2 linked regions of the Macaca mulatta genome follow. Each later gene encodes a partner of the first gene's protein in a complex. Links are inferred from orthologs where the notes say so. Each region holds a gene or a part of one and is shown in the gene's direction. Other genes may lie near its edges.

Region 1 (10,214 bases):
AAAATTATGTATTCACTATGACTTTAATTAATACTTAAAACTCCATGGATATTGGCAGTACTAAGATATCTAGATATTAAAGTGTGATTTAAAATTTAAAGTTGTTAAGCATTACTTATGTGGAGCATGCAGTAATTTTCATGAGACTTCCCACACCCTGCACTTTTATTTTTTGCCAAAATCTTTTTTAAGTTTTTGTTAAAACCAACTAAGTCGTATTGCAAAAAGAGGGATTTGAACCATGTTTTAAAAAATGCAATTGTCATTTATATCATTGTCATCTTCATCTGATTCCAATGATGAGGTTTTGCTACGTGGTGAATCCCTACCTGGCAGCTGCTAAAGTCCCACATTTACCAGCCACCTAGAGGGCATAAGATACTCACTGTTCTAGCAGCGATTGCTCACAGGGAGCCAATCTGGACAAAGCTGAAATGATGATAATGGTTAAGGGATTGGATTATAGAGAGATAATTAAAGTTTCATTATATAAACTCTGACTTTCTTTTGGCTTTTAAGATTTAACACATTTTTATCTATAGATGTTGCTGGGCCAATACTTGACATGCCCAGCTATTCTCAAGATGGCTTCTGAATTTGCCATAATGGAAAGATACATGTAATGCTGCGATTTTAAAGTTATAGCCAACCATTTAAAGCCTTTCAGGTATTACTATAATTAAGTAGACATTCTATTTAATGAGGGTGGCTTCCAACTAAAAGTTGGACTTTAACTTTGAACTTCTGCTGGGTGGTCCTTTGACTTACATGACAAATACAAAATGTTTCTATTAATAAGGAGATCTTCTCTAATTGTTTGAGAAGTTTGCCATGCCCAGAATTGAATTATGAAGTCTTTAAGAGTGTTGGTAAAGCAGTTCCATAAAGTTCATCTGTAGAAATCTGTTGACTTCAAAATTTGGTGGGAAGCCTTATTGTATGTAAATTTCAAAGATTTTAGAACACAGAAGTCTCTCCTTATCCAAATTTATCCTAATTGCCTGTGTATAGTAGGATGTAAAAGGGCTCTATAAACCTAATAAAAATTAAATCTTCAGACTGGGCAAGGTGGCTTACATTTATAACCCCAGCACTCTGGGAGGCCAAGGTGGGAGCATTGCTTGAGGCCAGGAGTTGGAGACTTGTCTAGGCAACATAGAGGAACCCCAGAATTAGGCTTGGTGGCATGTGCCTATAGTCCAGCTACTCAGGAAGCTAAAGGTGGGAGGATCCCTTACGCCCAGGAGGTTGAGGCTGCAGCGAACTATGATTGTGCCACTGCACTCCAGCCTTGGGCTAGAGTGAGACCCCTATCTCGTAAGGAAAAAAAAAATTCAGTCCTGACACAATGTAAATAGTCTAAGAATTTATTGTGCGTGGGAGTTTGGCTATTTAGACTGAACCTAAAGGGCTTTTTGAGACAGTTTAAGTCTAGGATGACAGCCATTCCTGTATATCTATTGATTAAATAAGGAGAGCTAACTTTCAATTGGCAGTTGTCTTTCAACCCAAGTGGATTATTATTAAGAGTTTGGGGGCATTAATATTTTAACCATTGAGGTTACATTTTAACCAGATAATATGATAATATATCTTTTATACCTTCTGAACGATCTGCAACTCTATAGGGCCTCCTTTGTAGTATTTTTATCTGATTTTATACCTTTTCCCATATTAAAAGAAATTATGCAAGTATCAGTTGCAAATAAAGCTGTATGATAGTCACATTCACTGTTGTTTATTTCCCCAATAGCTATGCTTTATGGAGGCCAGGCACTGTTTATCAGCTGCTAATGTCATTTTTGGTCAAACTGGAAAGATCTCAGCCACAGAAGACAGTAAGTTTACCTTTGCATGTTTTACATAGCTTTTAAAAAAGTATTTTATTTTGAAATTATTTTAAACTTTTGAAAAGTTGCAAGATCAGAAGAGCTATCATATGCCCTTCTCCTAAATGCACCAATTTTTAGTATTTTCTTCGCTTGGAATCAAATTTTATTTTTCTCTCTGAACCACTAGAGAGGTTACATACATTAGGCTCCTTTACCCTTTCATACTTCAATATATATTTCCTAAGAAGAATATCTTCTTACATAATCATAGATCATTTATCAAATTCAAGAAATGTAACATTGGCTAGGCATGATGGCCCACGCCTGTAATGCTAGATTTTGGGAGGCCAAGATGGGAGGGGCCAGGAGTTCAAGACCAGCCTGATCAACATAGTGAGACCCTACCTCTATGTTTTTAAAGAAATTAAAAAAACAGGCCGGGCGCGGTGGCTCAAGCCTGTAATCCCAGCACTTTGGGAGGCCGAGACGGGCGGATCACGAGGTCAGGAGATCGAGACCATCCTGGCTAACACGGTGAAACCCCGTCTCTACTAAAATACAAAAAAAATTAGCCGGGCGAGGTGGCGGGCGCCTGTAGTCCCAGCTACTCGGGAGGCTGAGGCAGGAGAATGGCGTGAACCCGGGAGGCGGGGCTTGCAGTGAGCTGAGATCCAGCCACTGCACTCCAGCCTGGGCAACAGAGCCAGACTCCCTCTCAAAAAAAAAAAAAAAAAAACAAAAGTAACATTGATACAATTCTTTTGTCTACACTGCATATTTCTGTTTCATCAGTTGTTGCCATAATATTCCTTCTAGCATTTGTTTGCCAGTACTGGATTATACAGTTCAAGATTGCATATTGCATTCAGTTGTCACATCTCTAGGCATTTTTCATCCAGAATTGTTCCTCAGCCTTTCTTTCCCTTTCATCACTTAACATTTTTGAAGAATATAGGCCAGTTATTTCAGAGAATTACTGCCAACTGGGGTTTGTGTGATGTTTCCTTACGCCACCATTCACATGATATATTTTTGGTTGGAATACTACATGCATAAACGATGTAGCCAAATATCCATCTTTTTAAGTATAATGTTTCATTTTGTCTTAGAAAATCATAGTTAACGTGTATCTTTGAGCCATTTAACAGGTTTTGTAGTAAGTTCATCTTTTTTTTTTTTTTTTTTTTTTTTTTGAGACGGAGTCTCGCTCTGTCGCCGGGCTGGAGTTCAGTGGCCGGACCTCAGCTCACTGCAAGCTCCGCCTCCCGGGTTCCCGCCATTCTCCTGCCTCAGCTTCCCTAGTAGCTGGGACCACAGGCGCCCGCCACCTCGCCCGGCTAGTTTTTTGTATTTTTAGTAGAGACGGGGTTTCACCGTATTAGCCAGGATGGTCTCGATCTCCTGACCTCGTGATCCGCCCGTCTCGGCCTCCCAAAGTGCTGGGATTACAGGCTTGAGCCACTGCGCCCGGCCTCATTTTCTTTAAAAATAGTTTATTTTGAAAAATAGTTTGATTCTATAACTCACAGTTGAACAGTTTCCAACCTTCTTACGATGTTTTAGATTTTGAAACATCATGTCTTCCTTACAAATGGACATTCTAATTGTGGATCTGAAAAGTGCAGAGACTCTTAAGAGTTAAAGGAATGCACATTATCAAAGTAAATAGTTGCTTTCTCCCCTAATATATATTAGCTACATTGAATTAATTATAGATTAGTTGAAGTCTAAGAGGCACTTGTCTTAAAAAATGAACAAAAACTAAATTGCCGAGATATTATTTAATACTATACTTTATTTAAAATAATACCGTGAGATATTATTTTTTTACTCTTCAAAATAGCTGAAAAAATGACAGTGTCCAGTGTTTTCAAAATGTTCTTATTGAGCATTCTCGTATATTGTTGGTTGGCGTATTTGTTGAAAATAATTTGGCTATATGTTGTGAATTACTTAAAATTGTGTAAACTCTTCTACTCAGTAAATTCCACTTCTAGGAACCTGCCCTAAGGAAGTAATCCAAAATCCAGGCAGATTTTTGCACAAATATATTCATGTTTCGAGTGTAAAAATATGTGTGTGTGTGTATAAACTTTCTAAACCTTTGTGTTGAGGGCTGACTTTCAGTAGATTGCAGCAAGAAAGCTGCCCTGCTGTGTATGACACTCTGACCCAGAAGCAGGTCATCTGAATAGTTTAGCACCAGGTTCTCCACAACCATGTGTTGTGTGACATAGAGGTTTTTGTGATAGTACAGAAATGGAAACAACAAATTCCAGGTTCGAATTGGAAGAATGGCTAAATAATGGAATATCTATTTAATTGTATATAATGGTGTACTTAAAAATGAAGCTAAGAGTTGATAATGATATGAGTAAAGTGTTTGTGGTATGAGAAAGAAATATGCAAAAATAATAGTGAGTGCTTCTGGATAGTAGGATTTGGAGTGGATCTTTCTTCCCTTTTCCCCGAGCCCCCTGCTTCAGTAAAGATCTGTTACTTTTGTAGTCAGGAAAAAGTGATATAAAAAAATTACAGTACCCAGTGAAAATTACAGTTGTGACCATTAATTTAAACAAATCACATGTATATTTTAGCTCCTGAAGCTGAAGGAGAGGTGCCAGAGCTTTATCATCAAAGAAAGGGGGAAATAGCAAGGTGCTGGATCAAATACTGTTTGACTCTCATGCAGAATGCCCAACTCTCCATGCAGGTAATGCAGTCGGAAGTTGCCTTTTTGTTTCTTAAATGAGGACATTGTAAGTAAAAACTCATAGTGGGGACTGTGCTCATTGGGGTCACATTGTGTTTAATATGAAAGGCGTGTAGAATGTTTTCATAAATATTTCTTTCTTGGTTTTAAATCGTACTCATCAAATTGATTGAATCCAGGAGGCAGAGGCTGCAGTGAGCCAAGAGTGGACCACTGCATTCCAGCCTGGGCAACAGAGCAAGACTCCATCTCAAATAAATAAATAAATAAATAAATAAATAAATAAAATCTTACTTATCATTCAAGGCCTATCTTAAATACTACATCTTCCTTGAAGACTTCTCTTTGGTTAGACTATAAGCTTCTTGAGAGCTGGGAACTATGTCATATTCTTTTTTTTTTTTTTTTTTTTTAAAGACAGGCTCTCGCTGTGTTGCCCAGGCTGGCGTGTGGTGATATGGTCATGGGTCACTGCAACCTTGATCTCCCCAGCTCACACAATCATCCCACCTCATCCTGGGAGTACAGGCATGTGCCACCATGTCCAGTTAATTTTTAAGTTATTTTGTAGATACTGGCTCTCATTATGTTGCCAAGGCTGGTCTTGAACTCTTGGGTTCAAGTGATCCTCCCGCCTTTGCCTCCCAAAGTGCTGGGATTACAGGTGTGAGCCACTGTGCCTGGCCTAACTAATCTTTTTTTTTTTTTGAGACGGAGTTTTGCCCAGGCTGGAGTGCTGGAGTACAGTGGTGTGATCGCAGCTGCAACCTCTGCATCCCAGGTTCAAAGGATTCTCCTGCCTCAGCCTCCCAGGTAGCTGGGATTACAGGTGCCTGCCACCATGCCTGGCTAATTTTTGACTTTTTAGTAGAGACGGAGTCTCACCATGTTGGCCAAGCTGGTCTCGAACTCCTGATCTCAAGTGATCCACCCATCTCGGCCTCCCAGAGTGCTGGGATTACAGGTGTGAGCCACCACACCTGGCCAAGGCCTTACTAATCTTTATATACTTCTCAGTGTTATCTTACACACAGCATGGACTTGATAAAATCTAAAAGGGTAGACTTTTAAGAAATAGCTCATGTAATAGTTCAAAAATAGAAGCAGAAGTGATGGCAGTGAAGAGCATGGGCTCTGGAAACACACTAGGTAGGTATGAACTCCAGCTCTGCTGCTTCGTAGCTATGTCTTTGTGGCAATTTACTTAATATATTTTTGCCTGTATTTCCTCACAAATAAGTTGGAGATAATAGTACTTAATACTGTTGTTATTAGAGTTAAATCAGTATATATTAAGGCCTCAGAAAAGTGCCTGAGACATACTAAGTCCTTAATAAATGTTAACTACCATCATCATTATTAATTTATACCCAATCCTAGTTTCTAACCACTAGGGAGGATAATAAAATTAATCATTTAGATGCAATATACTAATTGTAGATACATAGAAGCTTTCCTGGGGGAGTCATTGTGCTTTTGTTTTTTTATATGTGTGTATTAAAGTATGCTAATTTTTTTTTTTTTTACATGGGACTCTGCTTGATGAAAGTATAATAATCTTTAGTGGTTGTATTAGTCCATTCTCACACTGCTATAAAGAATTACTTGAGGCTAGGTGCAGCGCCTCATGCCTATAATCCCAGCACTTTGGGAGGCCAAGGTGGGTGGATCACTTGAGCTCATGAGTTTGAGACCAGCCTGGACAACATGTTGAAACCCTGTCTCTACCAAAAATACAAAAAATTAGCCAAGCATGGTGGTGTGCACCTGTAGTCCCAGCTACTGGGGAGGCTGAGGCAGGAGAATCACTTGAGCGCAGGAGGCAGAGGTTGCAGTGAGCCAACATTGCACCACTGTGCTCCAGCCTGGGTAACAGAGTGAGACCCTGTCTCAAAAAAAAAAAAACAGAAAAAGAACCACCTGAGACTGGGTAATTTATGAAGAAAAGAGGTTAATTGACTTACAGTTCCTCAGGCTTAACAGGAAGCATGACTGGGAGGCCTCAGGAAACTTAGAGTCATGGCAGAAGGTGAAAGGGAAGCAAGCGTGTCTTACTGTGGCAGAGCAGGAGAGAGAGAGAGCAAAGGGGGATATGCTACACACTTCAAAACCATCAGATCTCGTGAGAGAGCTCACTCACTACCACAAGAACAGCAAGCAGGAAATCTGCCCCCAATGATCCAGTCACTTCCCACCAGGTCCCTCCTCCAGTCTGACGTGAGATTTGGCCGGGGACACAAATCCATACTGTATCAGTGGTAAATAATGTAGAACCTTGTGAAACTACTAAACGAAAGAAAACTAAACAAACCTCAACACATCAGAAGCATAGATCTTGAAGAGATAAAGATCATTTTAGAGGTTAGAGGGTAAAGAGGAGGCATATTAAGGAAAGACAGGAAGTAGGGAGAAGAACTATGGGCTTTATGTCTAGAGAATTTGGAGCCAGGAAGAGCTGTCAAGTTTCTTCTGGTCAGGTAAGGAAAGCTGGAAAAGGAGGGTTGCAGGGGCTATTGGAGCAAAACAGTAGGCTAATTTAAGAAAGCATCCTAGAGAGAACATGTAGATAAACAAGCAGCCCAGGAAGGAAGGAAGTATACAAGATTTAGAGACTTATGATCTATGTTTGAAGTAATTGTGTCAAGCATAATGCACTATGATTTGACCCTTACCTTTCATTCAGTTGATGTTTCTAGTCTGGGAACTTAGAACTTCATCACTTGGTTAGTTTAAACTCACATATTTGCCATGCTACTAAATTACTCAGATTTTCCTTAAACCCAATTTTGTTTTTTGAGATGGGGTTTCTGTCACCCAGGCTGGTGTGCAGTGGCATGATCTCCACTCACTACATCCTCCACCTCCCCAGCTCAAGCGGTCCTCCCACATCAGCCTGCCACGTAACTGGGACCACAGGTGTGTGCCACTGTGCCCGGCTAATTCTTTGCATTTTTGTTAGGACGATGTTTTACCATGTTGCCCAGGCTGGTCTTGAACTCTTGAGCTCAAGCAATCCACCCATGTCAGCCTCCCAAAGTGCTAGGATTACAGGTGTGAGCCACTGCGCTCGGCCCTGACTTTCTTTTTTAACCGTAACTTCATCCTGTATCATCTGTGTATTTATCTGAAAGACCTTCTTCAGTTCAAGCTTTTTTTTTTTTTTAAGACGGAGTCTCGCTCTGTCACCCAGGCTGGAGTGCAGCGCAGTGGCGCGATGCGCAGTGGCGCGATCTCGGCTCACTGCAAACTCCGCCTCCCAGGTTCACACCATTCTTCTGCCTCAACCTCCCGATTAGCTGGGACTACAGGCTCCCGCCACCACACCCGGCTAATCTTTTTTGTATTTTTAGTAGAGATGGGGTTTCACCGTGTTAGCCAGGATGGTCTCGATCTCCTGACCTTTTGATCCGCCCACCTCGGCCTCTCAAAGTGCTGGGATTACAGGCGTGACCCACCGCGCCCAGCCCAGCTCAAGCTTTAAGACATACACATATTTATTCAATTAAGTATTTATGCCAAACCTGTGCTAGTCATTGGCCAAGGATACTATGATGGACAAAAATGAACCTAGCCTTTGACTTCATGTAAAAGTACAATTTTGCTAAGTTCCACAAAGGAGAGACACATGATATGAGAAGGCACAATAGGAGGAAATAACAAGCAAGCTCTGGGGATGAGTAAGTAGGAGTTACCTAGCCTGAAGAAAAGAAGGCACACCATGCCAAGGAGCTGAAGCAGCATGTTTAGAAGTTCTGTGGCGTAAGGGAGGATGATATCAGAAGGGATGGAGCAAAGGCTGTGAGGTTGGAGCTGAGGGAGAGGGAGTGTGATATAAGGTAAAGTTAGAGTTAGAAAGGGGCTGGAGCAATCAAGGCTTTGAAGCATTGTTGTCTTCATCTTCTGAGCATTTGGAAACCTTGAAGGGTTTGTGGAGAGATCACTAGTGAGACAGTGTCAAGTGAAAAGAAGAAAAGGGGCCAGGCGCGGTGGCTCAAGCCTGTAATCCCAGCACTTTGGGAGGCCGAGACGGGCGGATCACTAGGTCAGGAGATCAAGACCATCCTGGCTAACACGGTGAAACCCCGTCTCTACTAAAAAGTACAAAAAACTAGCCGGGCGAGGTGGCGGGCGCCTGTAGTCCCAGCTACTCGGGAGGCTGAGGCAGGAGAATGGCATAAACCCGGGAGGCGGAGCTTGCAGTGAGCTGAGATCCGGCCACTGCACTCCAGCCTGGGCGACAGAGCGAGACTACGTCTCAAAAAAAAAAAAAAAGAAAGAAAAGAAAAGAAGAAAAGGACTTGGGATCTGTTATTTAATTTTATTGGCCAAGAAGAGCTTACTCTTATTTCTTAACTACCTTAGTTATTCTTAGTTATTCCCCACCCCCAAGAGGTAGAGGAGAAAACTTTAACTAGGAAGGTAGATTTAACTTTGTTCATTTTGATGTCTTTAAGAGACCTAGAGCATTTCTCTTTGATATATTTCACTAAATAACTAATAGCATAAACATGGTAGCATTAATTTTAATGGCATCCTTGTGAAGTATTTTTGTGATGTAGATTACAGTCTGTTTGTTTGTTTGTTTGTTTCTTGAGATGGAGTCTTGCACTGTCACCCAGGCTGGAGTGCAGTGGCACGATCTCCACTCACTGCAACCTCCGCCTCCTGGGTTCAAGCGATTCTCCTGCCTCAGTCTCCCAAGTGACTGGGATTACAGGCCCCTGCCACCATGCCTAGTTAATTTTTGTATTTTTAGTAGAGACAGGGTTTCACTGTGTTGGCCAGGCTGGTCTTGAACTCCTGACCTTGTGATCCGCCCGCCTTGGCCTTCCAAAGTGCTGGGAGTAATGTATCACATGTATATAATGTTTCACAATTCTCAAAGTACTTCTACAGGTAGCATTTATCTTATTGGAAGGAGTAACTGTAAATGAATTTCAGTTCCTCAGAATAAATGATATGTAAGCAGCTTGTCTATTTAAATACTTTTTTTTTTTTTCACATTTCTTGAGTTTTTAATATAATTGGAAGAAAGAAAGAAGTTCTCAAAGGTGTTTAAGACTATGATACCCTTCTAAACCAGGCTGGAAAGTAAGAGACTTTTCTAAAAAAACTCTGAAGTTTGCTTTAATGTTATTTAACAGCAGGAGGTGAGTGTCCTACTTAACCATAATTTATTTATTTTTCTTCAGGACAACATAGGAGAGCTTGATCTTGATAAACAGTCTGAACTTAGAGCTTTAAGGAAAAAAGAACTAGATGAGGAGGAAAGCATTCGGAAAAAAGCTGTGCAGTTTGGAACCGGTGAGCTGTGTGATGCCATCTCTGCAGTAGAAGAGAAAGTGAGCTACTTGAGACCTTTAGATTTTGAAGAAGCCAGAGAACTTTTCTTATTGGGTCAGCACTATGTCTTTGAGGCAAAAGAGTTCTTTCAGATTGATGGTTATGTCACTGACCATATTGAAGTTGTCCAAGACCACAGTGCTCTGTTTAAGGTGCTTGCATTCTTTGAAACTGACATGGAGAGACGGTGCAAGATGCATAAACGCAGAATAGCCATGCTAGAGCCCCTAACTGTAGACCTGAATCCACAGTATTACCTGTTGGTCAACAGACAGATCCAGTTTGAAATTGCACATGCTTACTATGATATGATGGATTTGAAGGTT
Region 2 (10,314 bases), on another chromosome or scaffold:
CATGAAACTCATTTATTTTTGTTAATAGATGACTAAAATCCTGACTACAGTAATCCCCTCCTTATCCTCAATTTCATGTTCCACAATTTCAGTTACCTGTGGTCAACTGTAGTATGAAAGAAGGGTGAGTACAGTATAATAAAATATTTAGAGACAGCAAGCAAACAAGCAAATTCATATAACTTGTACTAGAGTATACTGTTATAATTGTTCTATTATTAGTTACTACTCTGCTGATATTCCTAATTTATATAGTAAACTTCACCATAAGTATACATGTATGGGAAAAAACATATATAGAATTCAGTATTATCCACGGTTTCAGGAAGCCACTGGGAGTCTTGGAACATAATAGGGGAATACTGTATATTGCCAAACTGATTAAAAATGAAGTGGTTCTTACACTGAAACATGGCGTACTTCTCTAAGGGAAATTCCCTTGAGTACATAAATAAGCGAAAATCACTGACATTACTTGGAAAGGATTCCCAAAGTTCTCTTAAGAGAGCATTCCAAGCTGTAACCTTCAAGCTGTCAACTGTGTGTACAGGGTCATCACCAGGACCTCAAGCAAAGTAAAGCTGAGTCTCGTCTTCTCATTGCTGAATCTATGTCCCTTTTCTCAAACCTTATCCTCTTTGTCATCATCCCTATTTTTAGTCATGGGGATCAGTCATTCCCTGTGTTACCTCTAAGAAAAAAATGGCTCCCTGTTGCTTACTAAATAGTCCACATGACCTCACCTCCACTAGTCCCTCTAATACTGCTATATATAGTCCATGACTCTCAAATCTCTACACCTTTACCCATGCTATTCTCTTCATCTCTACCTACTGACCTAACCATGCTCAAGAGTCTACCTAAATATCCCTCCTCCACGAAGTCTAACCTGATAACAAGCAGAGTCATTAACAAATACAAGACCACTACTTAGTGCCAGGCACTGTGCTAGGTGCTGGGAAAATATGGAAGGATTAAGATACTAACTTAAAGAGTTCAATCTAGTGGTGAAGATAAACAGGAAAGCAAGTAGTTGCAATATAAAATGAGTGTTATAGGTAAGATATGGATAAGGTAAAGAGAAAAACAGAGAAAGAGTAACTGTTTGGAGAGCTTTGAAGGGTTTCGGAGAGATGGTGACCTGTGAAAATAGGGCAGGAAGTGTTAAAGAACATGGCATTTTGGAGATCCATCTCTTCATCCTTTCAGAGCCTGGCACAGTGCATGGGGTTAGCACATACTCATCCTACTGGCATACCTTGAAGATACCACAGATTTGGTTCCAGATCACCACAACAAAGCAAGCATCAAAATAAACTGTCACACAAATTTTCTGGTTTCCCAGTTTACATAAAAGTTATGTTTACACTATACACTAACTACAGTTAGTATTAAGTATGCAGTATCATTATGTCTAAAAAAAATCTAGATCCCATTAAGAACATCCACGATTCATGGGAGAAGGCAAAATATTAACATTAACAGGAGTTTGGAAGATGTACCCACCTTAATTTAAAAATACTTTATTGCTAACAACGTTAAAGCTCATCTGAGCCTTCAGTGAGTCCTCATCTTTTTGCCAGTGAAGGGTCTGCCCTTGATGCTGATGGATGTTGACTGATGAGGGTGGTGGGTGCTGAAAGGCGGGGTGGCTGTGGCAATTTTTTAAAATGAGACAATGATGAAGTTTGCTGCATTAATTGAGTCTTCCTTTCACAAAAGATTTCTCTTTTGTGATGCTGCAATGCTGTTTCATAGCATTTTACCCACAGCTGAACTCCTTTCAAAATTGGAATCAGTCCTCTTAAACCTGCTGCTGCTTTACCAAGTAAGTTTACTCTAAATCCTTTGTTGACATTTCAACAATGTTCACAGCATCTTCACCAGAAGTAGATTCCATTTCAATAAACCACTTTCTTTGCTCATCAATAAGAAGCAACTCATGTGTTCAATTTTTATGAGACTGCAACAACTTAATTACATTTTCAGGCTCTACTTCTAATTTTAGTTCTTTTCCTTGTTCTACCACACCTGCAATTACTTCCTCCACTGAAGGCCTGAACCTCTCAAAGTCATCCATGAAGGTTGGAATCAACCTCTTCCAAATTCCTGTTAATGCTGATATTTTGCCCTCTTCCCATGAATCATGGATGTTCTTAACGTGTCTAGAATGGTGAAACCTTTCCATAAAGTTTTCAATTTACAATATCCAGATGCATCAGAGGAATCACTATCCATGGCAGCTGTAGCCTTACAAATGTTTTGACTTTTTGTTTTGTTTTGTTTCGTTTTGAGACAGGGTCTGGCTCGGTTACCCAGGCTGGAGTGCAGTGGTGCGATCATGGCTGACTGCAGCCTCAACCTACCTGGGGTCAGGGGATCCTCCCACCTCAGCCTCCCAAGTAGCTGGGACCACAGGTGCATGCCACCACACTTGGCTAAATTTTGTATTTTTTGTAGAGATGGGGTCTCACCATGTTGGCCAGGCTGGTCTTGAACTCCTGGGCTCAAGCAATCCACCTGCCTTGACTTCCCAAAGTGCTGGGATTGCAAGTGTGAGCCACTGTGCCTGGCTGTTATTTCTTAAACAATAAGACTGAAAATAGAAATTACTCCTTGATCCATGGGCTGCAGAATGGATGTTGTGTTAGCAAGCATGAAAACCACATTAATCTCCTTGTAGATCTCCATCAGAGCTCTTGGGTGACCAGGTGTATTGTCAATCAGCAGTAATATATTGAAATAATCTTTTTTTTCTGAGCAGTAGGTCTCAACAGTGGGCTTAAAATAATTCAGTAAACCATACTATAAAGAGATGTGCTGTCATCAAGGTTTTGTTTTTCCATTTCTAGAGCACAGGTAGATGAGATTTAGTGTAATTCTTAAGGACCCTAGGAGTTTTGGAATGGTAAATATTAACTTCAACTTAAAAGTCACCAGCTGCATTAGCCCCTAACGAGTGTTAACCTGTCCTTTGAAAATTTGAAGCCAGTCACTGACTTCTCTCTAGCTATGAAAGTCCTAAATGGGACAGGCATAGTGTTTTTTGAGAGGCTTTGAGAGGCTAAAGTGGGAGGATTGCTTGAGTCCAGGAGTTTGAGACCAGCCTTGGCAACACAGTGGGATCCTGTCTCTATAAAAAAATACAAAAATTACCCAGTGGTGGTGCGTGCCTGTAGTCCCAGCTACTTGGGAGACTGAGGCAGGAGGATCACTTGAGCCCAGGAGGTCAAGGCTGCAGTGAGCTGTGATTGCACCACTGCACTCTAGCCTGGGTGACAGAGTGAGACCCTGTCTCAAAAACAACCACCACCAACAAAAAAAACAAAGTCCTAGATGGCATCTTTTTCCAATAGAAGGCTGTTTCATCTACATTGAAAACCTGTTTAGTGCAACCATTTTCATCAACTATCTTAGCTAGATCTGAATAATTTGCTTCTTCATCTCATACTTTTATGTTATGGAGATGGCTTCTTTTCTTAAACCTCATGAACCAACCTCTGTTAGCTTCACTCTTTTCTTCTGCAGCTTTCTCACATGTCTCAGACTTCATAGGATTGAAAAGAGTTAGGACCTTGCTCTAGATTACACTTTGGTTAAAGGGAATGTTGTGGCTGGTTTGCTCTTCTATCTAGACCACTAAAACTTTCTCTGTATCAGCAACTTAAGCTGTTTTGCTTTCTTGTCATTCATGTGTTCAATACTGATCCCTTCAGCCCTAAACAACAGTAGTCAGGTGTGGCTCTTTCCTGAAGCTCCTCTTCTTCTATTTAGACCCAGGATATTTAGGGCTTTTGGCTACTTTTTTTGTTTGTTTGTTTTTTTAGACGGAGTCTTGCTCTGTCGCCCGGGCTGGAGTGCAGTGGCGCGATCTCCGCTCACTGCAAGCTCCGACTCCCGCGTTCACACCATTCTCCTGCCTCAGCCTCCTGAGTAGCTGGGACTACAGGCGCCCGCCACCACGCCCAGGTAATTTTTTATATTTTTGGTAGAGACGGGGTTTCACTGTGTTAGCTAGGATGGTCTAGATCTCCTGACCTCGCGATCCGACTGCCTCGGCCCCCCAAAGTGCTGGGATTACAGGCGTGAGCCACTGTGCCCGACCTTCTCTCTATATTTTTTAATTTTTTTTTTTTTAACTTAACAAAGCATAGAAACAGATTCAGGACATTCCTCCGAAGACGTTCCACACTCGAGTCCTAGGACACGGTTCGGGCGGGGGTCATTTGATCGAGTGGCCTGTGTCCTTATCTGGAATATGGGACGACGCTGTAACTCTAACTCACCCTGCGAACTCACAGCTTTTGAGGTAAACAAGAGAGAAAGAAGAGACAAGAAAGTGATCTTTCTTTACCATCTACCAAGGACCAGGCGGTTTACATGTAAGGTCATTTTTAGGAAAACAGCAGCGCTCTGAAACCTACAGAGCTTTCTGGGCGTAGGGGGCTGTAGTCGCTTGAAAAGAACCAGGCTGGGGGTCCGAGTTCCACCGGAATTGGTGCCGAGCGCGGGTGAAAAGAGGGACCCGACAGCACCCACCCTCCAAGTAAAGGCAAAAGTTGAAAGTGGCAGGCTGGCCGCGCTTCCGAAGTAACACGACTGGTGAGGGCTCACCTTAGTCTCTATGGTGGGTCCCTCCCTGTAGCCGACCCGTTCCTTGAAGCGGGCCAGAAACGCTGGCTCGGCTGGCCGTACGTACGATACCTGGTTCCGCTTGCTCATGGTAGCTCTAGGTAAAGACAGGTTCCGCGACCGATTCGCGACGATACAGAGGCGCTTAGCTGTGACGTCAACTGGACCACGCCCCTGATGCGTAGACCGGGCAACATGGCGGCCTCCATTCGGGCGTCAACGTCGGATACAAGCGCCAAATTCAAATTCGCGGCCATCTTGAGCGGGAGGAATTCAGTCGCGCGCGGCGCAGTCGGGAGGTGGAGGCGTCGGCTGCATTGTTCCCGGGATCGAGGGGTGAGGGCGCTATGGCACCCGGCTGCAAAAGTAAGTCTGGACCCCAGACTTCGTTACCCTATCTTTGCCCCCAAATACAGCTGTGAAAGGATGGCAACCTCGGACCGCCGGCAAGGTTCTTGCTGGGCATGAACTGCAGGAGCTGAGTGACGGGCGGGGGCGTTTGGGAATCCCTCTCTGTCGCTCAAAGACAATACGCTAGCCGAAAAGGTCATCCCTTCCGTGTCCTGTGCGCATGCTAGGAGTCTGGCGCAGTTGTAGGCGCTCGGGATGAGCAGTGGACCTGCCGTTCTTCCCTTTCTTTCCCTCGGTTCTGCTGTTTCTTCGCAGGCCTCTTCCCACATCCCGACCAGGGCTACCTCTCTAGATATCCTTGTTTCAGGATCGGCTTTTGCTCCCACCAGCGTCTGCGTATTTCCACATTTCTGACCTTCCTATAGGGAAGGGTTTATTTATATTCCAAACACTTCTTTCTCTTTTTCCCTTAAGTAAATGGAATGTTAAAACACAGATGTCAGCAATGTCTGTGTTGTCACAGTCTCTATTTTCACTTAAAGGAGACCCGTCCGATTTCTTTCTCTTTTTCACGGAGGAGAGCACTGTCATTTTTGCTTATGATAAACCCTACAGTTTTCACTAATGTAGTCTTTTGCTGTGCCTGTGTACGTGCGCCACTTCTTACATTGCCACATCTCTTAAGGAGTCTTGTTTTTGTGAACCTGATTATGAGCTGATTTAATGGGATCTTTGTGAGTGGTCTGAATGGTAATAAGGAGAGGCCTAGATCAGATGATTAAGAATTTGTGAACTTCTGTCATTTGAGCTTTCCAACAGCGTTAATGTTTCTAGCTTTCTGTCAATTATAGTTGTTTTTGATGGGTTTGTTGTTTCAGTAACCTTTTAGGTCGATCGCACTTTTATTGGAACACCTCTTTATGCTACCTTTTTCCATCTAAAATATTCCTTTTCCTTCATCATTTTCAGTATTCAAGGACTATGAGCTCACAAAATGGTACCTTATTGGAGAGAAATGTTCATCCTGCTTTCTGAACAATCATACTGTTTGTTCTTTGTTTCCACCTTATGGATCTGGACTCAAGCCAAAAAAATTGATGCCTGTTAAATAAGTAAAGTATCTGCTTATTTAATGAGATATATGTATGTGACTAAGGGCTCAGAAGAAAACCAAATTTGAGAGCCTTTCTTAAAGTGGTGGGAGCACTTCCCTTTATGATGGTGGTGATGCCATGGGGAACTTTTCCACTCCCTTAAGTTTGTTGGCAAAATTGAGGTTGATGACTTCCCAGGTAAAGTGCTTCTTGCTTTCCCAGCAGCCCAGAGACCTGGAGCATGAAGTGGGAACACATGGGAGAAGAGAGCCCATGCAGTGGTCTTTACAACTTTTACTTTGTGCCCTGAAGGCTTTTTTTTTTTGAGACAGAGTCTTGCTGTGTCACCAGGTTGGAGTGCAGTGGTGCAATATCGTCTCACTGCAACCTCCACCTCCGGGGTTCAAGAGATTCTCCTGCCTCAGCCTCCCGAGTAGCTGGGATTACAGGCACGGGCCACCACGCCCAGCTAATTTTTTTATTTTTAGTAGAGCTGGGGTTTCACCATGTTGGCCAGGATGGTCTTGATCTCCTGACCTCATGATTTGCCCACCTTGGCCTCCCAAAGTTTTGGGATTACAGGTGTGAGCCACCATACCCGGCCCCATGAAGGCTATCTCTAGTGACATTGACACCATGAGTTGCTGACTGTAAATCAGAGAAATGAAAAAGTGAAATATACAATTCCCTTTTTTTTTTCTTTTTTTTTTTTTTTAAAGACAGTGTTGCTCTGTCACCCAGGCTGGAGTGCACTGGCACAATCTTGGCTCACTGCAGTCTCTGCCTCCTGGGTTCAAGCAGTGCTTGTGCCTCAGCCTCAGAGTAGGAGATCTGGATTTAGCATGCCTTTGTTCAAATCCTAGCACTTCTCAGTGATGGTTCCTTAGATCTCAATTAGAAATAATGCCAGAACTATCTACATTTGTGTAGTTTTAAATTTCACTTTATCTCGCTATTTGCTCATTAACTTTGCTTCTTTTTTTATTAAGTAAACATTTTACTTTGGGTTCCTTTTAGATTTACCAGGAAGTTTCACATAAGCGCAGATCAGTATCCATCTATTTAGTTTCCATCTGATCAGTTACACAGATCTCTGCAGAGATGAAGAGCTGGCAGCCTACCTTCTGGGGCTTCTTGTTGTTGTTTGATTGTGTATTTGCTTAGCAACTGGCTGGATCAATTTAGTGAAGTCTATTTCCCTCCTATACTGTTAAGCCTTTGATGTTGCTCCTCAGGAAAGCACAGCTTTGGATATGCCCACCTGTATCCTGGGATCACAGTGGTTTTGGTAGGGATCTCTTTCTTTCCATGACTGCACACAGCTGTGAAACTCCAGTAATTGTTAGCTGATTGCTCTATTGTTTTTTAACAATGTCCTGGGGCATAAATTGTCTTACAAACTACTTCAGTTCTTGCTCCATTGAAGGAGTAGTTTCTGAGGTTGTCTTTCGTATTTCTTCTGACTCCACTGTAGCTACTCCTAGTTGATCTTATATCCCCATTGTCTTCTGGCAAGCGAACAGGCCTACAATTTAGCTTGTATCTTGAATGTCTTCCTAATTACTTTCACTAAAACCTACACTGTTCCTGAGAGTGCCCTTAGGTTTGAACTTCTTTCCCCCACACCCCACCCCAAGACCGAGTCTTGCTCTGTCACCTAGGCTGTACGGCAGTGGCGTGGTCTCGGCTCACTGCAACCTCCACCTCCTGAATTCAAGCGATTCTCCTGCCTCAGCCTCCCAAGTAGCTGAGATTACAGACGTGCCACCATGCCCAGCTAATTTTTGTTTTGTATTTTTAGTACAGAGATGGGGTTTCGCTATGTTGGTCAGGCTGGTCTCGAACTCCTGACCTCAAATGATCCGCCTGCCTGGGCCTCCCAAAGTGCTGGGATTACAGGCATGAGCTACCACACCTAGCCAGGTTTGAACTTCTCTTTTTTTTTTTTTTTTTTTTTTTTTGAGACAGAGTCTCGCTCTGTCGCCCAGGCTGGAGTGCAGTGGCCGGATCTCGGCTCACTGCAAGCTCCGCCTCCCGGATTTACGCCATTCTCCTGCCTCAGCCTCCCGAGTAGCTGGGACTACAGGCGCCCGCCACCTCGCCCGGCTAGTTTTTTTGTATTTTTTAGTAGAGACGGGGTTTCACTGTGTTAGCCAGGATGGTCTCGATCTCCTGAACTCGTGATCCGCCCGTCTGGGCCTCCCAAAGTGCTGGGATTACAGGCTTGAGCCACCGCGCCGGGCCAGGTTTGAACTTCTCTATGCTCTGTTGCAAATGAATTCAGCTCATTTGGGAAGAGAATAGGAGTTATCTGTTTATGGGCTGATTCTTCGTCTAGGCAAAATCTCTGAGCCTGGGCACTATAGTTGGGGATAGGGATAATGGCAGTCTTGTCTCTGAGTGATACCCTTTCTAGTTGCCGAGCATTTTGTGGGGAGGGTGGGGAGTGCAGCAGCCTTGTGTGGAACCACTGCCTAATGAGTTGGGACAAGGGTGATCAGGGCCCCAGTGTTCTCAGCATGCAGTTGCAAGATGAGGGCTGGGTGGGAGAAGGGAGAGCCCTCACCTCTCAACCACACTTGTCTAGGACTTTACCTCAGCATCAGGTAGCTAGCTGGAGACACAATGATACACTGACATCCTGCTACTCTGTGGAAGACACCCTTGCAGTTAGGAGCTGGAGGGGGATCCCTGTGTTCTTGGCTGCTGCAATCGACAGTGGAGTGTTTGCCTTGCTCAGATGGGAGGAAGAGAGCAATCTTGGTTCAAATAACACAGGACCACCTTTCTTGATGAATTTTCATAAATGTTCTTGAACGGATGTTTCTTTGTTTGCTGTTTGCCTTTGGGAACATTTCCAGAGGCTTTAATTTTCTTTTCTTTTTTTTGTTTTTTGAGATGGAGTCTCACTCGGTCGCCCAGGCTGGAGTGCAGTGGTGTGATCTCGGCTCACTGCAAGCTCTGCCTCCTGGGTTCATGCCATTCTCCTGCCTCAGTCTCCTGGGTAGCTGGGACTACAGGTGCCTACCACCATGCCTGGCTAATTTTTTGTGTTTTTAGTAGAGATGGGATTTCACCATGTTAGCCAGGATGGTCTCAATCTCCTGACCTTGTGATCCGCCCGCCTCAGCCTCCCAAAGTGCTGGCATTACAGGTGTGAGCCACTGCGCCCCGCCAATATTCTTTTTTAAAATTTCTTTTTTTTTTAAGTTTCACTGGGGAGTGGGTCAGTGGAGTTCCTTATAACGTCAGTCAGAAGTCAATCTCTGACTTCTTTTTTAACAGAATTATTCTGCCTGCTAGGTTGAGAAAAGATGGGAGTGGGGGAGAAAGAGAAGCAGAGAGACTGTTGTAATAACACAATAAAGAGATGTTGCTGGCTTGGTTCTACACTGTGGCAGTGGATTTGGCAAGAAGCTGTTGGACTGTGGGTATATTTTGAAATTAGAGCCAAAGCTTTGCTGAGATTGGATATGAAGAGTGAGAAGAACAGGGTCAGGGATGACTATATGGTTTTTGGCCTAAGCAACTGGAAAGATGGAGTTTACGGAGATATAGAAACACATTTGGGGTAGAGGTGGGGTATTCAGGCGCTCAGTTTTGTACACATTAAATTTGATTCATTGCCCACTGCATATCTAGTTAGAGATATCAAATAGGTAATAAGTTGTAAGAGTGTGGAGCTCAGGAGAGCAGTCCAGGAAGAAGATTTAAATTTGTGAATCATCAATTTATACCTAGCATTTAAAAACAGGCCAGGCATGGTGACTCTGGTGACAGAGCGAGACTCTGGCTCAAAAAAAAAAAAAAAAGAACCATTGATGCAGGATATTTTGCTCCTTAGCTCAGCTAAAATCCAGGTTCTTGTTGCATGCCCAGGAAAAATCAGGCACGCGGACACATTGAAAGATAAGGAGAGTGGAATTTATTAAAAGGAAGCTCTCAGTGAAAAAAAGTGTGTCCTGCCAACAAGCTGCCACCTCACAGATTGAATACCAGGTCACCACACACCAGCTGAAGAGGCCAGGCTTCTCCCCCTGCATAAGGTGCAAATTCCCAGTGGCTCCACCCCATTCTCTGAGTGCGCATGTGGGCCTTTAGTCTGAGCCACTCCACATTGATTTATTTTCCTTACTGTGTGTGTGTTAAGGGACAGAATTTTTCTTTTCTTTTTTTTTTTTTTGAGACGGAGTCTTGCTCTGTCGCCCAGGCTGGAGTGCAGTGGCCGGATCTCAGC

Evidence for each region. Proteins that work in one complex are often made in the same cells at the same time.
Region 2: the proteins of KIFBP (region 1) and KIF15 are in contact, whole or in part, in a cryo-EM structure (PDB 6ZPH), measured with the Homo sapiens proteins. The link is inferred for Macaca mulatta from reciprocal best matches to the Homo sapiens genes KIFBP and KIF15. Residues at the interface, in NP_056449.1 of Homo sapiens: Lys26, Tyr33, Lys36, Ile106, Glu109, Ile147, Ser150, Glu151, Glu153, Thr208, His209, Tyr212, Tyr213, Gln216, Gln219, His220, Phe224, Gln238, Glu248, Trp249, Ile251, Asn252, Thr255, Gln258, Phe259, Asn262, Tyr415, Val416, Thr417, Glu421; in NP_064627.1 of Homo sapiens: Leu187, Glu189, Ile191, Lys192, Lys193, Arg231, Glu232, Arg235, Arg271, Met280, Arg281, Leu282, Lys283, Glu284, Ala285, Gly286, Asn287, Asn289, Arg290, Leu292, Ser293, Gly296, Gln297, Ile299, Ala301, Val303, Asp304, Val305, Gly306, His312.

What each region holds. Positions count from the first base shown.
Region 1 is NC_133414.1:80,619,924-80,630,137, reverse strand, and holds part of KIFBP (KIF-binding protein), read left to right. Parts: intron 1-1,753; coding exon 1,754-1,838; intron 1,839-4,429; coding exon 4,430-4,545; intron 4,546-5,256; coding exon 5,257-5,358; intron 5,359-9,737; coding exon 9,738-10,214. UniProt on the Homo sapiens protein: Activator of KIF1B plus-end-directed microtubule motor activity. Required for organization of axonal microtubules, and axonal outgrowth and maintenance during peripheral and central nervous system development.
Region 2 is NC_133407.1:108,088,045-108,098,358, forward strand, and holds the start of KIF15 (kinesin-like protein KIF15), read left to right. Parts: upstream 1-4,779; 5' UTR 4,780-4,979; coding exon 4,980-4,998; intron 4,999-10,314. Other genes in the region: uncharacterized protein KIAA1143 homolog, read right to left, coding at 4,615-4,722. UniProt on the Homo sapiens protein: Plus-end directed kinesin-like motor enzyme involved in mitotic spindle assembly.